Linked DNA regions of Rattus norvegicus. The main gene of each other region encodes a partner of the protein of the gene in region 3 in a complex. Links are inferred from orthologs where the notes say so. Each region holds a gene or a part of one and is shown on either strand. Other genes may lie near its edges.

Region 1 (3,720 bases), on a different chromosome or scaffold from region 3:
GTTTTGAGACACGGTTTTTCTGTATAGTCCTAGATATCCTGGAACTTACCCTTAGACCAAGCTGGCCTCAAAATTCAAAGATCTACCTGATTCTGACTCCCAAGTACTGGGATTAAAGGTGTGCACTGATAACTGTCTGACTTAAATTTATTTTTATTTTATATGCATTGGTGTTTTGCCTACATGCATGTCTGTGTAAGGGCGCCAGATCCCAAGGAACTAGAGTTCCAGTCAGTTGTGAGCGGCCATGTATGTGCCAGGAATTGAACCTGGGTCCTCTAGAAGAACAGTCAGAACTCAACTGCTGAGCCATTTCTCCAGCCAGCATATAAACGCTTATTCTTTTATACCCACCTCCCCACTCCTAATGAACAGAAAACCATTTTCCTATAATTTGGGCAACCACATAGTTTCTAACAAAAATTACTTCAAAGGGGACTTTAGAGTAACAGGAAGCAGGGCCCTCGGTGTAGACCCTGGAGGGAGAAATATTCCCCTCTCACATTTTCAAGTTACAGCTGTGAATTATCTTCTCCAAAAGTTAATCCTGAATAGCATGAAAATACGGCTTGCTGGACTTTGTGTTCTTGACAAGATACAGTTATATCCAGTGAGTAAACCCCATTAGATCAGTGTTCTTACCGAGCTACGCGGTCATGGCCTCCTGACACGAAATAATATCCATATGGAGAAAACTGTGTGTCCCACACTGGGTAGTTGTGCCCTTTATATCCAACTAAGCAAGTGAAAGTCTGCAGGCTCCAGAGTCTAACGGTTCCATCCTCTGAAGAGGAGAGTAGGTAGTTCCTGAGGAGAAGAGGCGGTGCTGACTGATTCTCAGTACAGTCTAGTTACCTGTCCAAGTTTCTCCCAACCTCACATTTTAACAACTGACATGCACCTATGTTACATTAGTGTGTGCGTGCACATGCTCCTGGGAGTGGGCGCAGAGTGCTGAGGACTCACCCTCAGGCCTTGCACACGGCAGGCAGGCAGGCATTCTACCACTGAGCTACACATCCTCAGCTCCCTCACCTGTGTGTGGAATGCAGGATGCATGGGTATATTTAGGAGTCTTCCCTGGATCAATCTCCCAGATGTACCCAGAGCTTGTCAGCAACCCCAGCTCCAGGTCTAGAACACTGGGATCACAGGAGGGCCGCCAGGCCAGCATTTATATGGGTGCTGGAGATCTAAAATCTGATTTTCACACTTACATGGCAAGCACTTTCCTCACTGAGCCATCTCAGCCCCACCTCTCTATTCTTAGAATTCACAGTAGATAACAAAAGCTAAAAGTATTAAACTAATGTTAAGTGAAATCATGTCGAAGTATATCCTCAACACTTAACTATATAAAGCTAATAATGAAAGAAAAAAAAAAAAAAAAACAAGCCAAAACAAAAAAACCTGTCAAGACTATGGGGAGGGGTCACAGTGCTTTAGAAAAGAAAAAAGAAAAAAAATAGTGTGATAGCGCATGTGTAACCTCAGAACTCAGGTGATGACCCTGTGTTCAAAACACTAAGAAACTAGTACTGAGGCTAATAAGCAGTGCGGTTACCAGACAGTCTAGAAATGAGGTGCATCAGTTCTGAATATGTGATTTGCTGTCAGCATGGACTGTATCTAATAGAGAGAAGGAGTCGGGTACAGCTCAATAGCAGAGTGCACACCTAGTATGTGCTGGAGGCCCTGTGTTCAACCAGGACGCCATTCCCCTGCAGAATACTAACGTTCCACCTTTTTCAGGGATAAATAAAAAAGCCAACAGTTTTCACTGAAATCATTCTCTTCAAGTGAAATGTACCACTTGGCTAAATCCTATTAGGTACTGGTTTTGTTTTGTTTATTTCTCAAGATCTCACAAGTACAATGAAAACTCTGGTGGTCAAAAACTACTAAGTAGAATACACAAGATAATATGGGTGAAACCACCCTTTCCCAGCCATTTTTGCAGAAAGTTAGAAATGAAAATCAAGAAATACCTAAACACATGCTATTTCAAAACATGGTCTGGCTGTGATACCCAGTGAACCTTGAACCACAATTCTCCTTCCTGCCTTAGCCTCCAGAGAGGCTGGGATGGCAGGCACTTACTATGACACCCAGCTTTCTTCTGTTTTCCTGTTAAAATACCTAAATGCTTCCATTGATAGCTTTTAATGAGCAATTTCTCTTAAGTGTTAGGAAGTTCCATAAGAATAATCCACAAACTCGAACAATTCAACCTCTTCCAGAGGGTTATTCAAAAATAAAGCTAAATTCTGAAACTGGTGAAGCCATGAATGTATATCCTGATTTTTGTATATTCAGTATACACTTAGGTGCTATGTTATATTCCAGTCCCCAACATATATTAGCAAATGGTAAGATTCTAATTCTGAAAGATACTGAACTACAGGCAACCATAATGTTTGGCATTTGCATTTCATCTCCAGCAGTTAAGTTTGAAATCTCAGCACTGTTCATCAGCATTTAATTGTGTTTGAATTTTACCTATCCGGACTGAAGCTGGCTCCATAGACAGGCCCACTGTGACCATACAAAATCTTCAACTCACTTGCAGTTTTCTCATCCATGATTCTCTCTAAGACATCATCTGATTCTTTGTCTATAAGACTAAGATCTAAAAAGGTCCAGAAATAGTATTTTAGGTATATTATTTAAGGCAATCTCTCATAATTCAGAACTAACATTTCAACATTTCTTCCTCTTTACCAACAACACTATGCTAAATTAAGTGATCTGTCCCCTCATATAGAAAAAAATGAAATCTTCCAAACAGTTAATCTGCTAGACCATACAGTTACTCAGTATGACAACCAGTCTGTCCATCACATTTCATAAAAAGGAAGCTATACAAATCCTAAAACAATATAAACCTAACTGTTTAGGAAAAATAGCTATCAAAAGCATCTAAAATCCTGACCTTAGGAGTGGTTTCGGTTCTGTGTTTTGCCTTTTGTTTTCTGTATGTACCAATGCTTTCCCTGGATGATAAAAATGTACCACATGCATGTGTTGGATCCCTGGAACTAGAGTGATGGCTGGTGGTGGGAATCTCATCCAGGTCCTCTGCAGCAATGGGCAGTGCTCTCAACCAGAGTCCTCTATTCAGCACTGTGTTTTAATTTTTGAGACAGAGTCTTCACTGTGTAGCTTAGGCTCCTTTGAACTTAGTGATCCTCCTGCCTCAGTCTTGTATGAAGTGAATTTAAGCATGCATGCCATCACACAGGGATATGTCAGAGAACAATATGTAGGGTCAGTTCTCCTCAACCATGTGGGCTGTGAACACTGAACTCAAGTCTGCATGTCTGGTGGCAAGCACTTGCCTTTATCTACCGAGTTACTAAGGTTTAGTGAGGCCCTGCCAGCCTCACTAAGGTTTTCTTAAAAGTTATAGGCAAATAATCATCAGATATCACAGTTTTAACTTTAAAGAGTTGTCTGGGGTTGGGGATTTAGCTCAGTGGTAGAGCGCTTGCCTAGGAAGCGCAAGGCCCCGGGTTCAGTCCCCAGCTCCGAAAAAAAGAACCAAAAAAAAAAAAAAAAAAAAAAAGAGTTGTCTGACCTATTCCCTTCATTTTGTATATGAGAGAACTGGGGGCCAATGGAATAATCATTGCCACCCCCAAGGCCCTTTCATTTATTGGAAATGTTACCTTGGTTTGGTGTTTGTTTTGGTTTGAGACAGTTCATTTAAGGTTTACAGGC
Region 2 (4,752 bases), about 170 Mb from region 3:
CGAAATAGTCACTTTAGTAGCAACTGTTAGGAATTTAAAATTCTCAAATGTGTTAAAACTTTTAAAAATATATTTAAAATATAAAACATCCATCTTTTTCTTTAATTAAGCATATTTAAACTTCCCTTTGCTTAAATATGAAATTCCTTCTCTGAAATGTGGATATAAAAAGGATGACACAAATAAGTTAAATAATAAAAGATTAGGGGAAAAAAGGGGTAAATAAGTAAAAAATAACACTTTAGACTACATGCAGTGAGTCTGGGCATGCAACTGTCCAAGTGACTTTTAAAAAGTAATATGATAGTCATATCCTATTTGAGTTCACGGTAGTCTATCCTGGAGAGATCAATATAATGTCTCATACATTTAAAATCACCCAAACCTTTGTGTCTGCTGAGCCCACAGCATTTTCCCTCTTCCTCATATTCAGAGCTTATCTATCCAGTCTCCCAACAAAACCGTCACAATTTTTACTATTCTCAATAATGCTAGTTATTTTGGGGTAGGGAAGGGAAAATGTCCAAAATAACTATGTCATACTACTATCTATTATACATGTGATTTTCTTTCTCAGGCCCCTAGCAGAACATAATCACTCATTGCCAGGACCCTCTAGCAACACTTCACAGTCCTAACACTCTACTATACCTGACTTAAAAACAGAAATACAACATCAAAGAGACGCTTACCTTCCCGAGCTAGATCTCCCACATTAACGTACTTCAGGCCTGATCTTGATGCAAGTTCTTTGCCTAGTGTGGTTTTTCCAACCCCTGGTGTACCTGTAAGAGAAGCCACAGAAAAATGCTGTTCAAATCCTACTTACTACATGTCAGCCGTCTTCTGCCCTTACAGTTCTTGGTTCTTTTTTTTTTTTTTTTTTTTTTCCGGAGCTGGGGACCGAACCCAGGGCCTTGCGCTTCCTAGGTAAGCGCTCTACCACTGAGCTAAATCCCCAACCCCTGCCCTTACAGTTCTTAGACGGTATAAAATTTTTCTTAATTAGCAATCATATATGAATATACACCATGAACTAATAAAAATTCCCCAGAAAGCCTGGTATGGTGGTGCACGCCTTTAATCCCAGCACTAAGGGTGGAGGCAGGTGGGTCAATCTCTGTGACTTCAAGACCAGACTAGGCTGGTTTCAGGACAGCCAGGGGCACATAGCAGGACCCTGTCTCAAAACCAAACCAACCAAAAAATTCTCCAGAAATTACTGGGTATTAGTGTCAGGACCCTAATCTCCAGGGATAGGACTCCAAAAATTTTGATGCCAATCCTGCCTGCCAACATATAAAATTCCCAGCATAAAATCAGGCACTTCGGGGGTTGGGGATTTAGCTCAGTGGTAGAGCGCAAGGCCCTGGGTTCCGTCCCCAGCTCCAGAAAAAAAAAAAAGAAAAAAAAATCAGGCACTTGGGATACATTATCATTTGCTGCATTAACAAAAGCTTAAAAACATTCAATGGAAAAAATATAAGAGGTATGAGAAATATCATTACTACTATTTACACTAGTAACTTCCCCAGAGGGAACTACTGTAAACCAGTTTCTTACTCAACTTTCTATGAGTTTGTGTATGTCTACAGGATACTTGGGATGCATTTAAATATGTGTGCACATACACATTGTATATATCCACAGCATAGGTACCCTGTTGTATAAATGGCACTATACATTGTTCTTTGCTTTTCTGCCTTTATAGCTAATACCCTTTTAAGATAATCAAATGCATAATGTTCAAGCTTAAAATTACTTAAGTCAATTTGAACATTATAAGTAAAAATCACGACTCTACATTCTCATCCTATTCAATCTTATGATATGGCTCTCTCTCTTTTTTTTTCCCCATACATAGGGCTGGCCTTTGACATATGCCACCCCAGCTAGTCTATGTAAGTTCTGGGGATCCAACCCAGGGTTTCCTGCCTACTAGTTATAAGTTCTCTATCAACTGATTTCCATCACCAGGGTCCCTCTGTAGCCTTCTGGTTTCAGAATCTTAACCCCCCCAAGACACTGTCTGACCATGCAAATCAGGTATTGTAAAACGTTCCTCCTAAGAAACCTTAAAAGCTAGTGCGTAGAGCTGAGGCAGACAACAACCTTACGATTCATTACCTGACATCTACATCCATCCCATTTTTGTACGACTGGCCTTTGATGCTACTAGATGCTACAACTTAATATTTCTAATTAAAGCTCCGAAACCTTCCCCCGGCCCCCACGATCAGCTCCAGATCACCACAAACGTCCACAAACGCTCAGAAACCCCAACACTAAAACAACAACAAAGCCTGTGGCGCGAACGGAACTAAGAAACAGTTAACTAGTCACTTCTCTCCACAAGCATCCCAAAATCATCTACCGAAACCTCTTGGGAAGCAAACGGGGCATTAAAAAAGAAAAGAAAATGGGTGGCGATCAGGAAGGCCCAAGGGCTGGGGCACCCACCATTACCACATCACCTAACGGCTAAAAACTGCCTCACAGCACCCCGATTTAAAAAAACCCCTAGCCCGACCGCGACAAAGAATCAGCAGCCGGTCCTCCAGGCAAAGATACCAGATTGACAAAGGCTAAGTGTCTCCCGGGGCGGCGGGGCAACGGAGCAGGAGCCGGCAGCCGCTCTCCTTCTCGTCGCCGCGGCGCGTCTGGCTAACCGAACCTCCGCCTCCCCCGCTCCCCCTACCCCCTCCCCCAACGGTCGCGAGCGCCGGGTCCTGACGCGACCACGACACCGCACGCCGCGCGGCCTGAGGAGCCCCGAGGCCGAACACCCAGCGCCCCCCGGGACCTCACAGCACTCGACAAACCCCGGCCCGGCCTGGCCCAGTCCCGCCGCGCGCCCTAACCGGTGAGCAGGATGTTCGGAAGCTTCATAGTACTCCTTCACACGCAGCCAGCGCTTCGGCTCACGCGCTCTCCAGGGAGGAGCCGGAAAGGGCGGGCGGGCGCGTGCGCCCGCGGCTAGGTTCCCTCGAGGCCCTTCGCGGTGCTCACACTCACTTAGGACCCCCTTGGCTCGCACCAATGACTCCCCGGCCTCGGGAGGTACACTTCCACCGAATGGGGGGAAAGCACGGCGCCAAGCCTGGCCTGCGTTTCGGGTCAGGCAGTACGCTGGACGCCTACGTCACTCGCTCGCCTGCCGGCCCCTCCCCTCTGGTGCGTCGCGTAAGCGCCCGCAGTAAGGAAGGTCCCCAGGAGGCGGGCCGCCCTAGAAGCCTGCGGCTGAGCTGGGAGGGCTGGGCGGTTACCCTTCCACACTACAGCCTGGCCTCCTTCACATCTTTCCGCCCGCGAGGGGACGCAGCTCCCAGAAAGTAAGGACGACGACGCTTCCGCTTTTCTTATTAATGTCCTAGAGGCGTGAGACCCGCTTCGTCTTTACGCCTACCTGGGCTGTCCTCCGGACCCGCCCTCCAATATGGACTAGTGTAGGATGTAGGTGAGGAGCCCTGGCCTGAAGCCATGGTGCGATGTGTCAGCTCCGTTCTCTGTTGATTGCACAAACACCTAGGACTGATGTGTCCCTGTCCCCTGCGCAGTGTATGAGGTGGAGGTGGATCGGCTAGGGGTAGTCTTGAAGTTCTCGTTTATCTCCAGCGTAATTCACGAGCCTGGTATTTATCATCAGAGACAGTTGGTTTTTTATCCAAGGTGATGATTGTCAGTCTTGTTTTCAAAGAGCCCCGACCGTTGAGTATCTTTTATTTCGACAAGTATAATTTCTTAAGCAGACGTTTTTGTATCCTTTTAAAACGTCAGGCCCTAATCCTAAATTATAAGGGGAAGAGCATTTGTTATATTAGGTGGGAAAGATTTTAGCGGGTGGGCTTGTGTGTACCTACAACTCTAAAATAGACCAGTGCACTTCCGGTTTATCCGAAGTGACTGATGAGTCTTACTTCATTGTGTTTTTTCCTTTCTCTTAAGTTGTAAATACACTGTACTTTGCAGCGTGATATGAAATAAGAATTTAGGCATAAAAATGCTTATATGGGATTAGTTTTTCTTTATAACAGAAGGTAAGTGCACAAATATGTGGCTTTTCTGTTTCATTCTTTGGAGTTTATATGAAAACCTTTTTACTTATACCATCCCACCACAAATAGACTATCTGATACAATTGTAATCATTTAAAATTTACTTAAAGGTTTTAACATCTTTTTTGAGTCCACATTACATGGTTGATTTTGTATTTTGATATTGATCAGTATTAATCCTGTATTTATTGTTTTTCCTAATTTGTGATGTTTTTCTTTTTTCCACCAAGGTGAATTATACTTCAATATACTCTAAATTGTATGCTACTGATGGGAACTGTTAAAGTTTATAATGTCAGAAACTTTCCTTAGACCAAAGGTGTCTTCTACAAAGGTATGACATACATAGAATGGCATGTAGTAGTTGCCTAAAGAGAACCACAAAAGTTTGTTCTCAGTGCTTTATGCCTGTCAAAGTAGTGATGGTCCAGCGTGTGCTGCAGTTAGTGATCTGAAGTCTGGTAAGCCGAAAAACAGCTGTAACCACGACCATTGAAAAGCCACCTTTTTTCCTTCCTTCCTTCTTTCCTACCTTCCTTCCTATTTTATTTTTAATTTTTCAAAACCGAGTTTCTCTTTGTAGACCTGGATATCTTGGAACTCACTTGGGAGGCTGGCCTCTGCCTCCCAAGTGCTGGGATTAAGGGCTCGAACCACTATGCCCAGATTTGAAAAAAAGAATCCCAGTTACAAAGAG
Region 3 (4,227 bases):
TGTATATCAGTGGAACACAACCCAGAATACCTGTCCTGGCCTCTGCTTCACAAGCTGTGCCATTCCTACGGCTGAAGGCATTTGTTTTTGGAAGCATTACAGTCATCAAGGAAGACGACGAGATTACTAATGCTTAGCAAATACTAGTTTCTCTTTAAAAAAGTGTTCTTTAGAAAAGAATATTAAAACAAATGATCGATTAAGACATTCTGACAAGAATTTAGTTTTCTAAAAAAAAAAAAAAAACCACACAAACCAGTTCATTATCTTTAATAGCTTCTCCCACTACTGTCGTCTAAAAACTTGAGATTCATAAAGCACAAGCCCTACCATTCATAAAATCAAGAGGACATTTAGATTGCATTTTATGCAGCGATGTACACAGCTTGGAATGCACATGTCTACCTGAAGAATAAGTACTACTTCCCCCTTTCGGGTGGAACTGCATGGTTTGCAATACTTTAAGTTAGGAGTTATTCAAGGCCAGTAAGCAACTCAAATATGGTCAGATAAAGACAGGCAACAAAAGGCTCACGTTACAAATCTAAAATCAAAGGCCTCTGTCATTGCATGCCTAGCTATCACGATATTACTGCAGACAACAAATACAATGTATGGTTTCCACAGAAAATATCAAAATCCCGGGCATCACAAACGGTGTCAAGATCCATAGTTGGCTTCGTCGAAAGCTTTTCTAGCCCGTTTCAACTCTTCATTCATAGTTAGTAAGTCTTTAACTCTAGCGAACTTCCTCGGATCCTTTCGAATTAGGAAGACAATATCTTCAACTTGCACTCGACCTTGTCTTCCAATTGACATTGCCTTATGAGTCTATGACAAGGAAACACATCAATTTTTAAGGGCCAAATATTTTTGTGTTTTAATTTTCTATTAATCACGCTAGTGTTACATTTGTGAACCAGCTGTCTGATCATCTCCTTACTTAGGAATTTATTTATTTCATGCATGTGAGTACACTGTAACTGTCTTCAGACACCAGAAGAGGGCATCAGATCTCGTTACAGATGGTTGTGAGCCACCATGTGGTTGCTGGGAATTGAACTCAGGACCTCTGGAAGAGCAGACAGTGCTCTTAACCGCTGAGCCATCTCTCTAGCCCTCCTTACCGCCTTTCTATTGCATAATCGACAGTATTTTCTTTCTGCATTACAGGACTTCTTTTTTCATTACGGACAATAAAACTACCAAAATGAGCTAGACAGAGTGATACACACTTTTAATTCCAGCACTTGGGAGGCAGAGACAGACAGATCTCTGTGAGTTCAAGACAAGCCTTGGTCTATAAAGCAAGTTCCAAGCTAACCAGGGACATATAGCGAGACCCTGCCTTAAAAATAGATGGATGGACAGATAGGCAGATGGATGGTCAGACAGACTGGCAGACTAAAACAACAACAAAACCTAGCAAATTGGGGTTGGGGATTTAGCTCAGTGGTAGAGCGCTTGCCTAGGAAGCGCAAGGCCCTGGGTTCGGTTCCCAGCTCCGAAAAAAAAGAAAAAGGAAAAAAAAAAAAAAACCTAGCAACTTTTGAAGATACTTCTGTTTTATTTTATGATATAGGTGAAGTTTTTGTCTTGTTAAATGTGTTCTGGGTTGGCTAATGAGTAGGTAATAGAGATTAGGAAAATAACAATTAGGCTTTAGTAGGCTGGAAGGAAAGAAGGGAGGTTTTGGGAGGCTAAATAATAAAACTGATCCTAAGACTAATGCTTAAATCTTTTATATAAAAAATCTATACTTGGAGACACAATTATAACATTATTTTTGTTGCTGTTTTGTTTTTGAGACATGTTTTTGAGTCTCACTATATAACTAGAACTTACTATGTAGATTGGCCTAGCCTTGAACTCAAGCCAACTTATCTCTGATTCCTGACTGGTTTTTTTTTTTTTTTTTTTTTGGTTCTTTTTTTCGGAGCTGGGGACCGAACCCAGGGCCTTGCGCTTCCTAGGCAAGCGCTCTACCACTGAGCTAAATCCCCAACCCCTCCTGACTGTTTTTTATAGAGACAGGATCCAGAAACTAGGCTGGTCTCAAATGAGGCAATCTTCCTGCCTCTGCTACAACTTCTAGAACTAAAAGCATGCACCACTATGCTCAGCTTTGTTTCTGTTTGTTGAGAAAGGGTCTTACTACCTAGCCTACCTAGCCTGGTCTTAAAACTGGGGTCCACCTACCACAGCCTCCTGAATGCCGAGCACACCGAAATGACATCTTCTCCTGCCTGGCTGCTTTGTTTGTTTTTATCTGTTTGTTTGTTTGAGAGATGTCTTTATTTCATTTTATTTGTTTGTTTGAAATCCTAGTCTTGTTATGTAGCTCTGGATGGCCTAGAACCTGCTACATCCTGTAGTAGATCCTCCTGACTCTCTCTGGAATTCTGGGATTACAGGTAGGAGCCACTATGGCAGGCTCTGTCATTTAATATGCTGCTGGGGACTGAGCCCAGGGCCTCGCACACGCATATTAGCATAATCTGGCACTACTATGGCTAATGTTTTCCCTGAGCTGAGGTAAACTGGATTAAATACTCGCCACATGTGCAGGCCCTTGTACACACACCGAACAGCCTCAGCCCTGGCTGAGTAATCCTTTCACTTATTCTGTAGTAAGGAGATGGTCCAATGTAAAGGGTGAACACTCATAAGAACTAAAACCAACCAAACTCAGTGACCTCACCCCTGCTAATCCATCCAAACAAAGGAAAAGAAGAAAACCATAAAAATGGTCATTCAAGATGTTAGACCAGGGGCTGGAGAGATGGTGCAGATGTTAAGAGCACTGGCTGCTCAGGGTTGGGGATTTAGCTCAGTGGTAGAGCGCTTGCCTAGGAAGCGCAAGGCCCTGGGTTCGGTCCCCAGCTCCGAAAAAAAGAACCAAAAAAAAAAAAAAAAAGCACTGGCTGCTCTTCCAGAGGACCCAGGTTCAGTTCCCAGCATCCACAAGGTAGCTCACAACTGTCTTTAACTCCAGTTCCAAAGTATCTGACATCCTCACACAACATACATGTAGATAAAACCAATGCACATGAAATAGAATTTTTTAAAAATCCCAAAGGTATTCCATGAGCTGTACATACCTTTTTTTTTTTTTTTTTTTTTTTTTGGTTCTTTTTTTCGGAGCTGGGGACCGAACCCAGGGCCTTGCGCTTCCTAAGCAAGCACTCTACCACTGAGCTAAATCCCCAACCCCCTGTACATACCTTTAAATAAATACTGGAAGGGAAAGAACTTAGGCTGGGTGAGATTATGGGCAATACTTTTAATTTTATTCAAAGATACTATGTTTTTACAAATAAAACTCAGGGGCTGTAGAAACATCTTAGTGCTTAAGAACAATGGTATCTTCCAGAAAACTGGAGTTCAGTGCCCAGCACCCACATGGCAGCTCACAACTGTCTGTATCTCCAATTTCAGGGAATCCAACACCCTCTTCTGGCCTCCAAGAGCACCAGACACACATAACATACAGGGACATACTTGTAGGCAAAACACCTGTACACACCAAGTGAAATATAAAACAAACAAAGCTCAGAAGTTCTGAGATACATTTACGTACTATCCATAGTAAGGGCAAATAGAAGCCAGGAACTTGCACAAAGCAGGCACTCAAACAGATAGTTTATTTCAAAAATTCTAGCATTATCTAAAGCTTAACATTTTAAACCTTCAATTAACAGTTACAAAAATCAACACAACAAAAAAGTGATAGTTACAAAGTATCTTACCATTTCAGTGATGAACTCTATGACAAGGTCTTCGAGAATATCCACTGACTCCGTATAAGGATTCTGGTCATCCCCAAACCCATACATCATACAGCGCACTGTGAGAGAGCAAGAGTGTTGCGTGACCCAGAGATGGACCAGTGTCACCAGTACACTTTGCATACCAAGTAGGATTAAACCAAATTATAAACAATGGTTTAAACACAGTTATGGCTGGGCGTGGTACAGCTTGGTTTTTAATCCCAGCAGTCAGGAATCAGAGACAGGTGGACCTAGTTTGGTCCAGGCTGGTCTATGCAGTAAGACAAACGAAATATTACAGTTGTGTCTGCAAGTATGGATTTTGGTATAAAAGATCAAAGTTGTCTTAGGACTGCTCTTACTATTTAGCCTCCATAAATTTCTCTTCCTTCCAAACTACTAAAGACTAACCTTATTATATGCACACACACACACACACACACACACACACACACAC
Region 4 (4,679 bases), on a different chromosome or scaffold from region 3:
AAAATCAACTGACAGACTCTAGAAATGCAGATTTTTGAAGGGCCGATCACCCTGTCTTGGCAGAGCTTATCAGTCAACTATTCTGCATAATTTGTCCTTTTCTGGACAATATTAGTCTGCAGATGAAACAGGCAGCTTTGTGTAGTGGCTGCCTAGCCACAAAGTATTGCCTTACCTGAACAAATTCTTCATTAAATCTGCCAAAGGGGAACTGTTAGGAGCAGCTACGTCTCAACAAAAGATAAATAACTTTAAGTCTCAAATTTTGTGGATTTCTGACGTTTTTGAAGACCATCCATCTATATAAGACAATCTGGACTGTTGTTTTCATATCTTAATATTTTTTTTTTGGTTCTTTTTTTTCGGAGCTGGGGACCGAACCCAGGGCCTTGCGCTTCCTAGGTAAGCGCTCTACCACTGAGCTAAATCCCCAGCCCCTTCATATCTTAATATTATCTTGAAAGTGCTCTCACAAAGTCAGAGCCATGAATGTGCTATTTGGCCCTTAACTCACATATGTAATCAACTCAGAAGTTTGTATTGACATAATTAGAAGGACTGGCTCTAAACCTTGTACTTTTAAACTTTTTTGACAAATAAATTCTATACCAAAACAAAGATATGATTTTAGCTTAGTTACCAAATGAGATAATGACTCTACAACTCAATCTAGCTAATTCCTCCCTGTTAAATTACAACCATTTCTAAGTTCCTCATAAAAACAACTTTAGAATAACTGCTTTCAGCCCCCCAAAAGTCCAGGGAATTGGGGCGACGACTCCTCCATAACTTCCTCAAGCTGTACATGGGCGTTGAGCTATCCTTGGGGGTAGGAGGCAGGAAGAATGAAGCAAATGCTGAGCAGATGTGTCCTGACTGGACCCAGCCGAAAGTCCTTGAGACCAGGAATCCAAGGAGGCACACAATACAACAATCAAGACAAAATATAACCATAATATATATAACCATAAAACTCAAGGTCACGGGCTGGAGAGATGGCTCAGTGGTTAAGAGCCCCGACTGCTCTTCCAGAGGTCCTGAGTTCAATTCCCAGCAACCAAATGTAGACACCCCATCTCTGACTTCCTCACCAGCGGTGCCTAGGTATCCAGAGAGGAAACTGGGAACCACACCATTCAACCCAGACCCCTCTGTTCCCATTCTAGTTCTGTGGGTAGCAGTGCCTGACATCATCCAGAAGGGAAACATTCACTGTGGACCCCCTGTTCTGGCTTTTGTTATGCCGCTCAGGGCTGGCATGATGGTGGCTGCTAGACACCTCCAGCAGAGGCAGAATGCAGTATGACATCAGAGCAATGTGAGTTCTTTATTTTTTATTTAAAAAGACAGCCAAGAGCTGGAGAGATGGCTCAGTGGTTAAGAGCACTGACTGTTCTTCCTAGCAACCACATGGTGGCTCACAGCCATCTGTAATAGGATTTGATGCCCTCTTCTGGTGTGTCTGAAGATAGCTACACTGTATTCATATACATAAAATAAACACATTAATTTTAAAAAAAGTCAGCCAAATCTTTATTGGGAAATGGGTCCCTAGGAAGTGAGCCTGGGGCCCTCGTTGCACATCTTGTTCCTTAGCACTGTTCCAAGAATTCCTTTTTTTTTTTCTTTCTTTCTTTTTTTCAGAGCTGGGGACCGAATCCAGGGCCTTGCGCTTGCTAGGCAAGCGCTCTACCACTGAGCTAAATCCCCAACCCCTGTTCCAAGAATTCTTTTTTTTTTTGGGGGGGGGGTTCTTTTTTTTTCGGAGCTGGGGACCGAACCCAGGGCCTTGCACTTCCTAGGCAAGCGCTCTACCACTGAGCTAAATCCCCAACCCCCCAAGAATTCTTCATCGCGTCTCGTGTTGTGGAGAACTAGAAAAGGTGTAAATATTGCAGGCCTTCAAAGGCATCGTCTGCTCTGAAAGCCAGGTCCACTGTGACTGAGGGCCTGTGGCTTTGCTACCTGTTTAGTGAACCATGTGCTCGACTCCTTGGCCTCAATGAAGTTGGTGGTCTTCTTGTGCCGGATCATGAGAAACACTTCCATCCCTGTGACTGACTGCTTCTGACTTGATGCACCAGACCTGAGCAGTGTCAACAACAGGCATTAAATATTTTAATTGTGTGCAGTGCAGACCTGGCGCAGACGCGGTCCACGCCCAGCGAAACCGCCCATTCGACAGCTGGGGAAGAACGAAGTGGGCACACTTGTAGGAGCTTCCCGAAGTGCTCGCCTTCCCAAAGATTTGGGAACCTCATGGGACTGGAAATGATCCTCATTGGTCCAGGCACTGTAGAAACAAAAGAAATGTGGGAACGGGATACTAGCTCTGTTCTGACGGGAGGCAGGTAGCCAATAGTTGAAGCATTGAATGAAATCGTTGGATATATTCTATTGGCACTAGAGATGCTTGCGGTACAGAAGAGAAGCCCAAGCAGTTCCCTGGTGGACCCAAGCCGCGGATCTCAGTTCTTTGGAAAATACGAGGTTGAGTCTCTGCCGGAAATTGCTCAGTCCAAGGCAGCAACAAGCAGCCGGACGGAGTTTTCGCCCCGTTCCGGACTTTGCGCTCAAGTTAACGGATTAATTGGCATTACATTTCCAGGAAGGAAGGAAAAAAAGAAGTCTCTCGGTAAACGAATTGTACGCCCTTTCGAACACGCTTCTACCCTAAAGCGGAGGATCTATACTTTTACATTTCTTTCTGGTTAAAACAAAGTCAGTATACAAGAAGACCCTGAGCGATCGAGACTCTGAAAATGACCCCTCCCAGGAGCCGTGGGCGTGACGTCATCGCGGCGCGACCACAAGCAATAAGGACCAGCTCCAAGCCATAAGCCTCAGCTATAATATAAGTCCCGCGGCAAAACTCGCTGACCCTCACTCCTTCGCCCGGCCGCGCTGCCTTCGCCTCTAACCCCCTCCTGTCGCGATGGAAAACCTTGGAGAGTCGCCCACGGACAAAGGCGGGGAGTCAGAGGAGTCGAGGGCTACTCCTGGGAACCCGTTAGCGGCAGACACTGAGGGAATCCCTGAGGAAACCGATAGGGATGGAGACGTGGACTTGAAAGAAGCCGCGGCAGAGGAAAGGGAGACCAAGAGTCAGGATGTCTCAGGTTTGACAGCAGTTGAGAGGGAAGACTCATTTCTTACTCCTGCAGCCAAAAAGCTGAAACTAGAAACCAAAGACAAGAAGGAGAAGAAGCAGAAGGTGGACGAAGATGAGATTCAGAAGATGCAAATCCTGGTCTCTTCTTTTTCTGAAGAGCAGCTGAACCGTTATGAAATGTATCGCCGGTCAGCTTTCCCGAAGGCAGCCATTAAAAGGCTGATCCAGTCCATCACTGGCACCTCTGTGTCTCAGAATGTTGTGATCGCCATGTCTGGCATTTCTAAAGTTTTTGTCGGGGAGGTGGTAGAAGAAGCCCTGGATGTGTGTGAGAAATGGGGAGAAATGCCACCCCTGCAGCCCAAGCACATGAGGGAGGCCGTGCGGAGGTTGAAGTCCAAGGGGCAAATCCCCAGCTCAAAGCACAAGAAAATCACCTTCTTCTAGATCTAACAGAGACTGTTCAAGACTTTCCGTATAGTTGGGCTTCTGTACTGAGGCTTTGTTGGTGGTGAGCCCAGGACACTTGATGCTGACTTTAATGTTTCTGTTACACCTACAAGGCACGTAGTGTGCCTCAGACTTGCCTTCACTCAGTCATAGACTGTCCTCAGGCATGTTGAAGAATTTCACAGACTCTTGGCTATTTTTAAGAAAAAATACACAGGGACTGTTAGTATCTCCTGGAGAGGGAGATGATTTCAGAGAAAAACAAGACAACTACAGTTTCACATTGAAGCCTAAAGTGGCTAAGATTCAGGTTGTTTCGAAACAAACTTTCTCAATAATCTGCTGTGAAGACAGTCACACCATAATTCGATTCTCACCGTTAACATTTCAGGTTGTCCTGTGTATTTTGTGAGGGATTATTAAACTTTTCCAACCTGTGTGGGAAACTTTGTTTTATTTTGTTGCAGACAAAACTTATTGTCCTTCCAATAAAACTTGGATTTTTTTTCCTTGTTTAAAAATACAAAACAAAACTTTTAATTGCCCTGGGGCTGAGTTTCTCTGACCCTGACCCAGAATGGTTGAATTCAATTTGACATGCCCTGTAGGAGGCCCCTTAGGGGGTTAATCTGAATTCATTAGCCTACTACTGGGCTTTGCCACACCTTATGCCTACTGCAGAAGGCTGAGCTTTCTTTTGGATTACTTCTAGAAAAACAACAACAACGAAAAACATTGTGCCTACGAATGCCTCGCCTATAATCCCTTTTCAAATGACATCTGACATTTTCCTTTTTCTTAAGACTCTGAGAAATTACTTCTATCAGATTAGCATAAGTGTGAGATCCAATATCTCTAATTCATTCCTCTACTGGTGCTGATGGTACCTTTAACGGTCTGATCAACCTTTTGCATTCTGAATTAGCATTTTCAAAAGCCTAGGATTCAATTACTATTTTTCAGACTTCTGAATCTGATATGATTCTGTTTACAGTTGAAGTCAGTCTTTGCAAAGGAAATCAGGGAAGGCTACTTTGGGGCCTTGTGTGGTTTTAGTAAATGACTCAAACCTTTCTTGGGTCTTCACCCTCATCTCAAGCATTTAAAGCTGCTAAAT
Region 5 (4,791 bases), on a different chromosome or scaffold from region 3:
GAAAATATCTTAAATATACTTAGAATTTTTCACCTGCCACTTTGTTAAGAACACATACTTTATGACTCTAACACTCTAGAGCCAGATATTAAGGGAATCTTTAAGCTGCATTGCAGTCACGTGCTTGTGAAAACGCAAGGAAAAGTACATTCTGAAGCGTCTAAGCATTAAGAGGCTTGATCCTGAATTCAGTCTTAATAACTCATTTTGAACACTTCACTACTGTTTTCTAACAAAATCTGAACTTTGATTTATGAAGCAAGTACTTTTAAAGTGAAGTTTTACAAACAAATCAGACAGAAATTAATTTTTAACTATGCACCTTACCAATCTTGGTTTTTCCCCAAAAACACCCCTCCCATCCATAAAACATTAAATGCCTCAGAGAAAAATTCTATGTATGAAATTTTAAAATACCAGACCTGGTAACAGGCTTTCATAGTGGCAAATACTAATGAAATAACATGAACAAACATGCCTATTAAAAAAGCATAGCAATTAAAATGGCAACAGTTAAGAATATAATCTTAATCTAAGCAAGTGGAATAGTTCATCTGATAACTGTTTAACTGCTTCCAGTATTTTATAGATAACTTTAGTGTTTAATAAAAAGATATAGACAGATATCCTTCAATGAAAAGTAGGATAGTTTAAGAAGGCTCTGGACCGAGTGTTCACAAACCTCCAGATGGTGTAGGTAGGCCTGAACCATAATCTATAATGCAAAGATGAATTTCTCCATTTCCTTATCTGGTGTATTCCTTTTCTAAAAAGGCAAAACAACAGCATGTATCTTGATCTATACCACTCAGCCATTAAACTCCATGAGCTCACCTCAACTTTCAGTATTCATTGAAGAACAAGATAAGCAAAGTGAAAATTAGTAACTTTTATTGTGCAAAAAACAACTTTTATGAAAAAACTTGCATTTCTGTAACATGGAAACTTGCTGAGAAGGTAAAAAAATATATTTCTTAAAAAAAAAACAAAAAAAAAAAAAAAAAACACTCCATTGCCTGTAGGCTAGCTAGCTTCTTACTGATCTTAGCACCGAAGAATAGGACTAGAAACTTAGGAAACAAATTGTAATAAAGTCCTATGGTGAAGTGATTAAAAGCTCAGTGTTGTCACTTCACTAACCTTACACTACAACAAATCTGCCTATGTAATCCTATTTTCTTAAGAGTGAAAACAATCAACACAATAACTCCTAGCATTACAGGAAATAAGAATATTTCAAAGAAAAAAGAAGAATTTTTCAAGACCTCACTCTGAAAATAAATTCTTCTTAAGCTGACTAGTCTAAGGACTAAAGTCAACCTTTTCACTTCTCCAGAAGTGATTCCAGCTCTTCTTGCAAAGAGCTAAGCTGCTCCTTTTCCCGGTCTTCCTTCTGTTTGAGCTCATCCAGAACAGCTTGAAACCTGTTCTTCAGAGCCAGGTTTTCTACCTTCATGATGAGATCCTCCTGGCGCTTTGCTCTGTCTTGGGTTTCTTGAAGCTTGCCTTTCATATTATCAATCTGCTTCTGAATCCCCATAACCAACTGATTGGTTCCTTCATTTTCTTGGTGTTGTTCATCTGACTCATTTAGCTTGTCCTGTAGCTGTCTCTCCAGATCCTCTTCAGTGTCAATGATGTTTACATCTTCTTCATCTTCGCTGCTGCTGCTGAGGTCATTGAATATCTCTCGAAGCTCATCATGCTCTAGTGAGTCATGGCCCTGCCTGTGGCCAGACATTCCAGGAGAGGAGATATCAAGGCCTTGATTTTCTGCCTCCTTTGTTTCATCTTCAGCAATTATCTCCCAACGAGTACTGACAGCTTCTGCATCTGTACTCAGCAGCCGCTTTACTTCTTTTTCCACATCTGGAGATTCAATGTACTTCTTCTTTGCTGTCTTCCGGAACCTTCTCTTTCTGACATTTTTTAGAGGTAGAGTAATTCCATGGTTCCAAACAAATTTTTTCTCTTTGTCCTTATCTTTTTTCTTGTTTGCTTTGGGATCAGCAGTAGCAGCTGGCTCCTCCACAGGAGGGTATAGATCACCATCTACTGTGGCTACAAGCATCTGAGAGATATCAGCTGTCTTGTAAAAGGTTTTTTTATCAATGGTTTTCAAGCTCTCCGTAACACACGGCAAATCTACCAATTTTGCAGCCAGGGGCACTCTATCCACTCTGACAATCCCATGACGCCCATCAGGGTGTAACTCAATGCTCAGTCTATCTTTCAGGTTGACGTGCCCAGACTGCACTGCCCTCCTCACAGTAGCGGCATATTCTGGGGGCAACCGTAAGATAAACTGGCTCTCTAGCTCATGAGGTGCATCATCTTTGCTCTTACTCATCTTCACTTCCTTGTGAATTACTTCTCCAATAAACACCTGCTGCACTAACAAGTTCCAGCTCCTACAACAGTTAAAAAAAGGACAAGGTTAAGAATAATCTTAAACTCTTAGTTACTGAGTTCTAAGGAAAACAGCAACTAAGTGGATCATCACCTACTGCCTATTTTGTCTTAATTTATAATTAAGTCCCAATACTAATCTCTAAACATGCATCCCACTTTGGCATTGTCCCTGTTAAACTCACACCTCTACTAGATGCAATACCAAATTAGGGCCTCTAGACGCCGCTGCAGCATCACGTGAACAGCCAAAGAAAACAGCAGCGCCTGAGGGGATTTTAGGCACAGTCCGTCCGTCTGGCAGGCAATCCCAATCCACGGATTCTCTCCAGTAAGAGATTTAAATAAAAGTCGTGAGCTCTTCGGCTCGGGTACTTACAGTTCACCAGCAACTATGAACTCAGCTTTTCTCGGCCTGAGTAAAGCAGCGATGAGCGGTGCGTCTACCTTCCAGTTTGTCCGCGCTTTCAGCCGCCCGGCAAGGCGACCTGAGCGCTAACAACGAAACGGCTCAGGACCCGCAGCGCGAAACCTCGCCACACTGCCGCTCAAACATCCGAACTCCGGAGAGGACCTTGCCAAGCCTCCTCCCACGCAGAAAAGAAGGAAAGAAAGTGCTACGGCAGTGAGCGGAAGCAGACGCGGCGCTACGTCAAAGACCGGAAGTAGACGCGGAGGGGCTGGCTGCCGCTCTTCCGGAAGTAGTAACGTCGCGGCGCGCGCAGGCGCATTCTCGTAATTACGTCGTCTCGTGACTACTTCTCGTGAGAACTTACCTTGTATAGGATTAAAACTAGTGTTTCCGGAAAAACCTTGGCTTGGAATTCAAAGATGAAGATTCCAAAAAGTAAAACATAAGCACACCCCCTAAGACAGCACTTTTATGAAGTCGTGGGTTAAGACAGTTTCTAGAGTGATTGCCAGAGATAAAGGGCGTCCCTGCAGAAAGCATCTTTTCTTCCCAGGGCATACCCGGTCCCTCCGCCAAAAGCTTTGGAAGCATCACAAAGTGAAAGTAAAGTGGCCAAAACAGTGGAATGATACAGTTTTGCTGTCTACCACATAACGCTGTGTATAATCATGTTAATTAGCTTTGAGAGGAACTAAGCCTTTAGCTTCGTTAGTATTTTTGGCTCCAGAGGACGAGGTGTGATATGTATGATACGCTATTTTGGTAATATGTTTGATAGATATAACTGTATACAAATGTTTTTATGATGACACAGGTTCATTAAGAACAGAATTGCCTTGCCTGAAACACAAACGTTCTGATTTTGTTGTTGGGTATCCACCAAAGAAGGCTGCTTGGACATAGTTTTAAGCCAATATAAAGTATTAGCTAGCCAGCGACTACATTGGGTGTTCTGGATCCCAGTGTGGCCCTAAGGCTTTCTCAGGGTGAGCTTTTAAGCACAAACAAATGTTCTACATTGGCATGTTTCTGTTACAAAAACCACTTTCCAGAGACAGAACTACAGAAGCCAAAAAACAAGGTTAGTACATTAGAGACTTTCTCAAAACTATGAAATTTGATAATTAGGTCTGTTTTTGTTTTGCCCATTGGTACTGTCTGTACTGTTAGGGTTCTCTAGAGTCACAGAAATTCTGGAATGTCTGTATACATTAAGGGATTTTAATGTAATGATTTACAGTCTGTAGCCCAACTAACCCAACAATGGGCAGCTGTGAATGGAAAGTTCAAGAATCTAGTTTCTCAGTCCCACGAGGTTAGTTCTTTCACCCAGTCTTCTGTATAAACTGGAATCTTGAAGAAGTGGGTACCAACAGATGTGCTGGCAAGTAAGAAGTAAGTGCAAGCAATTGAAGAAGTGTGAGTCTTCCTTCTTCCAATGTCCTTATATAGGCCTCCTGCAGAAAGTATAGCGCAAATTAAAGGTGTGCAGCACCACTCCTGGATCCAGAACTTGGCTTATCCCAGCCTGGCCTGGAATTCAGAGATCTGTTTGTCTGGGATTAGAGGTGTGTACTACCTTGCCTGGACCTAAGCTTTTCATAGTCACTATGCCTCAAGATATCCATGTGTCTTCTAGCCTCAAGACCTGAATCACAGGTGTGCCCTCCATTTCTGGATTGTGGTTCCTTCCAGATATAGTCAAGTTGACAAGCAGGAATAATCAACACACTATGTAATGAATGGTATTTTCCTCATGGAGTCAGTTGTGCTAACTGGGGGCCTGTTACAGTTGAAATGTAATGTGGAAGCATTTTTTAAATCTTTTTTTATACATTGTCTCTGTGACCCTTCCTAGGTAGAACTTTGAGCTCTTAGTGATCCTTCTGGCCCAGTCCATCTTCCAAGTCCTGGGATAAAAGCAGCCACCCCCAGCATATGCCCTGGTTCTTACTGGCAAGTATCTTTTA

Evidence for each region.
Region 1: Taf13 (region 3) and Taf5 share a complex: the UniProt entries of both Homo sapiens proteins name them as parts of the TFIID basal transcription factor complex. The link is inferred for Rattus norvegicus from reciprocal best matches to the Homo sapiens genes TAF13 and TAF5.
Region 2: Taf13 (region 3) and Taf9 share a complex: the UniProt entries of both Homo sapiens proteins name them as parts of the TFIID basal transcription factor complex. The link is inferred for Rattus norvegicus from reciprocal best matches to the Homo sapiens genes TAF13 and TAF9.
Region 4: Taf13 (region 3) and Taf11l1 share a complex: the UniProt entries of both Homo sapiens proteins name them as parts of the TFIID basal transcription factor complex. The link is inferred for Rattus norvegicus from reciprocal best matches to the Homo sapiens genes TAF13 and TAF11.
Region 5: Taf13 (region 3) and Taf7 share a complex: the UniProt entries of both Homo sapiens proteins name them as parts of the TFIID basal transcription factor complex. The link is inferred for Rattus norvegicus from reciprocal best matches to the Homo sapiens genes TAF13 and TAF7.

What each region holds. Positions count from the first base shown.
Region 1 is NC_086019.1:255,909,498-255,913,217, reverse strand, and holds part of Taf5 (transcription initiation factor TFIID subunit 5), read right to left. Parts: intron 2,630-3,720; coding exon 2,500-2,629; intron 808-2,499; coding exon 643-807; intron 1-642. UniProt on the Homo sapiens protein: The TFIID basal transcription factor complex plays a major role in the initiation of RNA polymerase II (Pol II)-dependent transcription.
Region 2 is NC_086020.1:33,526,576-33,531,327, reverse strand, and holds the start of Taf9 (transcription initiation factor TFIID subunit 9), read right to left. Parts: upstream 2,941-4,752; 5' UTR 2,890-2,940; coding exon of another isoform or gene 2,862-2,889; exon of another isoform or gene 2,714-2,861; intron 2,686-2,713; exon of another isoform or gene 2,128-2,685; intron 786-2,127; coding exon of another isoform or gene 693-785; intron 1-692. Other genes in the region: Ak6 (adenylate kinase isoenzyme 6), read right to left, coding at 693-785, 2,862-2,889; cell cycle checkpoint protein RAD17, read left to right, coding at 4,348-4,389. UniProt on the Homo sapiens protein: The TFIID basal transcription factor complex plays a major role in the initiation of RNA polymerase II (Pol II)-dependent transcription.
Region 3 is NC_086020.1:198,899,483-198,903,709, reverse strand, and holds part of Taf13 (transcription initiation factor TFIID subunit 13), read right to left. Parts: intron 3,848-4,227; coding exon 3,750-3,847; intron 832-3,749; coding exon 661-831; 3' UTR 1-660. UniProt on the Homo sapiens protein: The TFIID basal transcription factor complex plays a major role in the initiation of RNA polymerase II (Pol II)-dependent transcription.
Region 4 is NC_086028.1:74,277,890-74,282,568, reverse strand, and holds Taf11l1 (transcription initiation factor TFIID subunit 11-like), read left to right. Parts: upstream 1-1,510; 5' UTR 1,511-2,935; coding exon 2,936-3,559; 3' UTR 3,560-4,008; downstream 4,009-4,679. UniProt on the Homo sapiens protein: The TFIID basal transcription factor complex plays a major role in the initiation of RNA polymerase II (Pol II)-dependent transcription.
Region 5 is NC_086036.1:29,710,302-29,715,092, forward strand, and holds Taf7 (transcription initiation factor TFIID subunit 7), read right to left. Parts: upstream 3,024-4,791; 5' UTR 2,789-3,023; intron 2,412-2,788; 5' UTR 2,351-2,411; coding exon 1,325-2,350; 3' UTR 875-1,324; downstream 1-874. UniProt on the Homo sapiens protein: The TFIID basal transcription factor complex plays a major role in the initiation of RNA polymerase II (Pol II)-dependent transcription.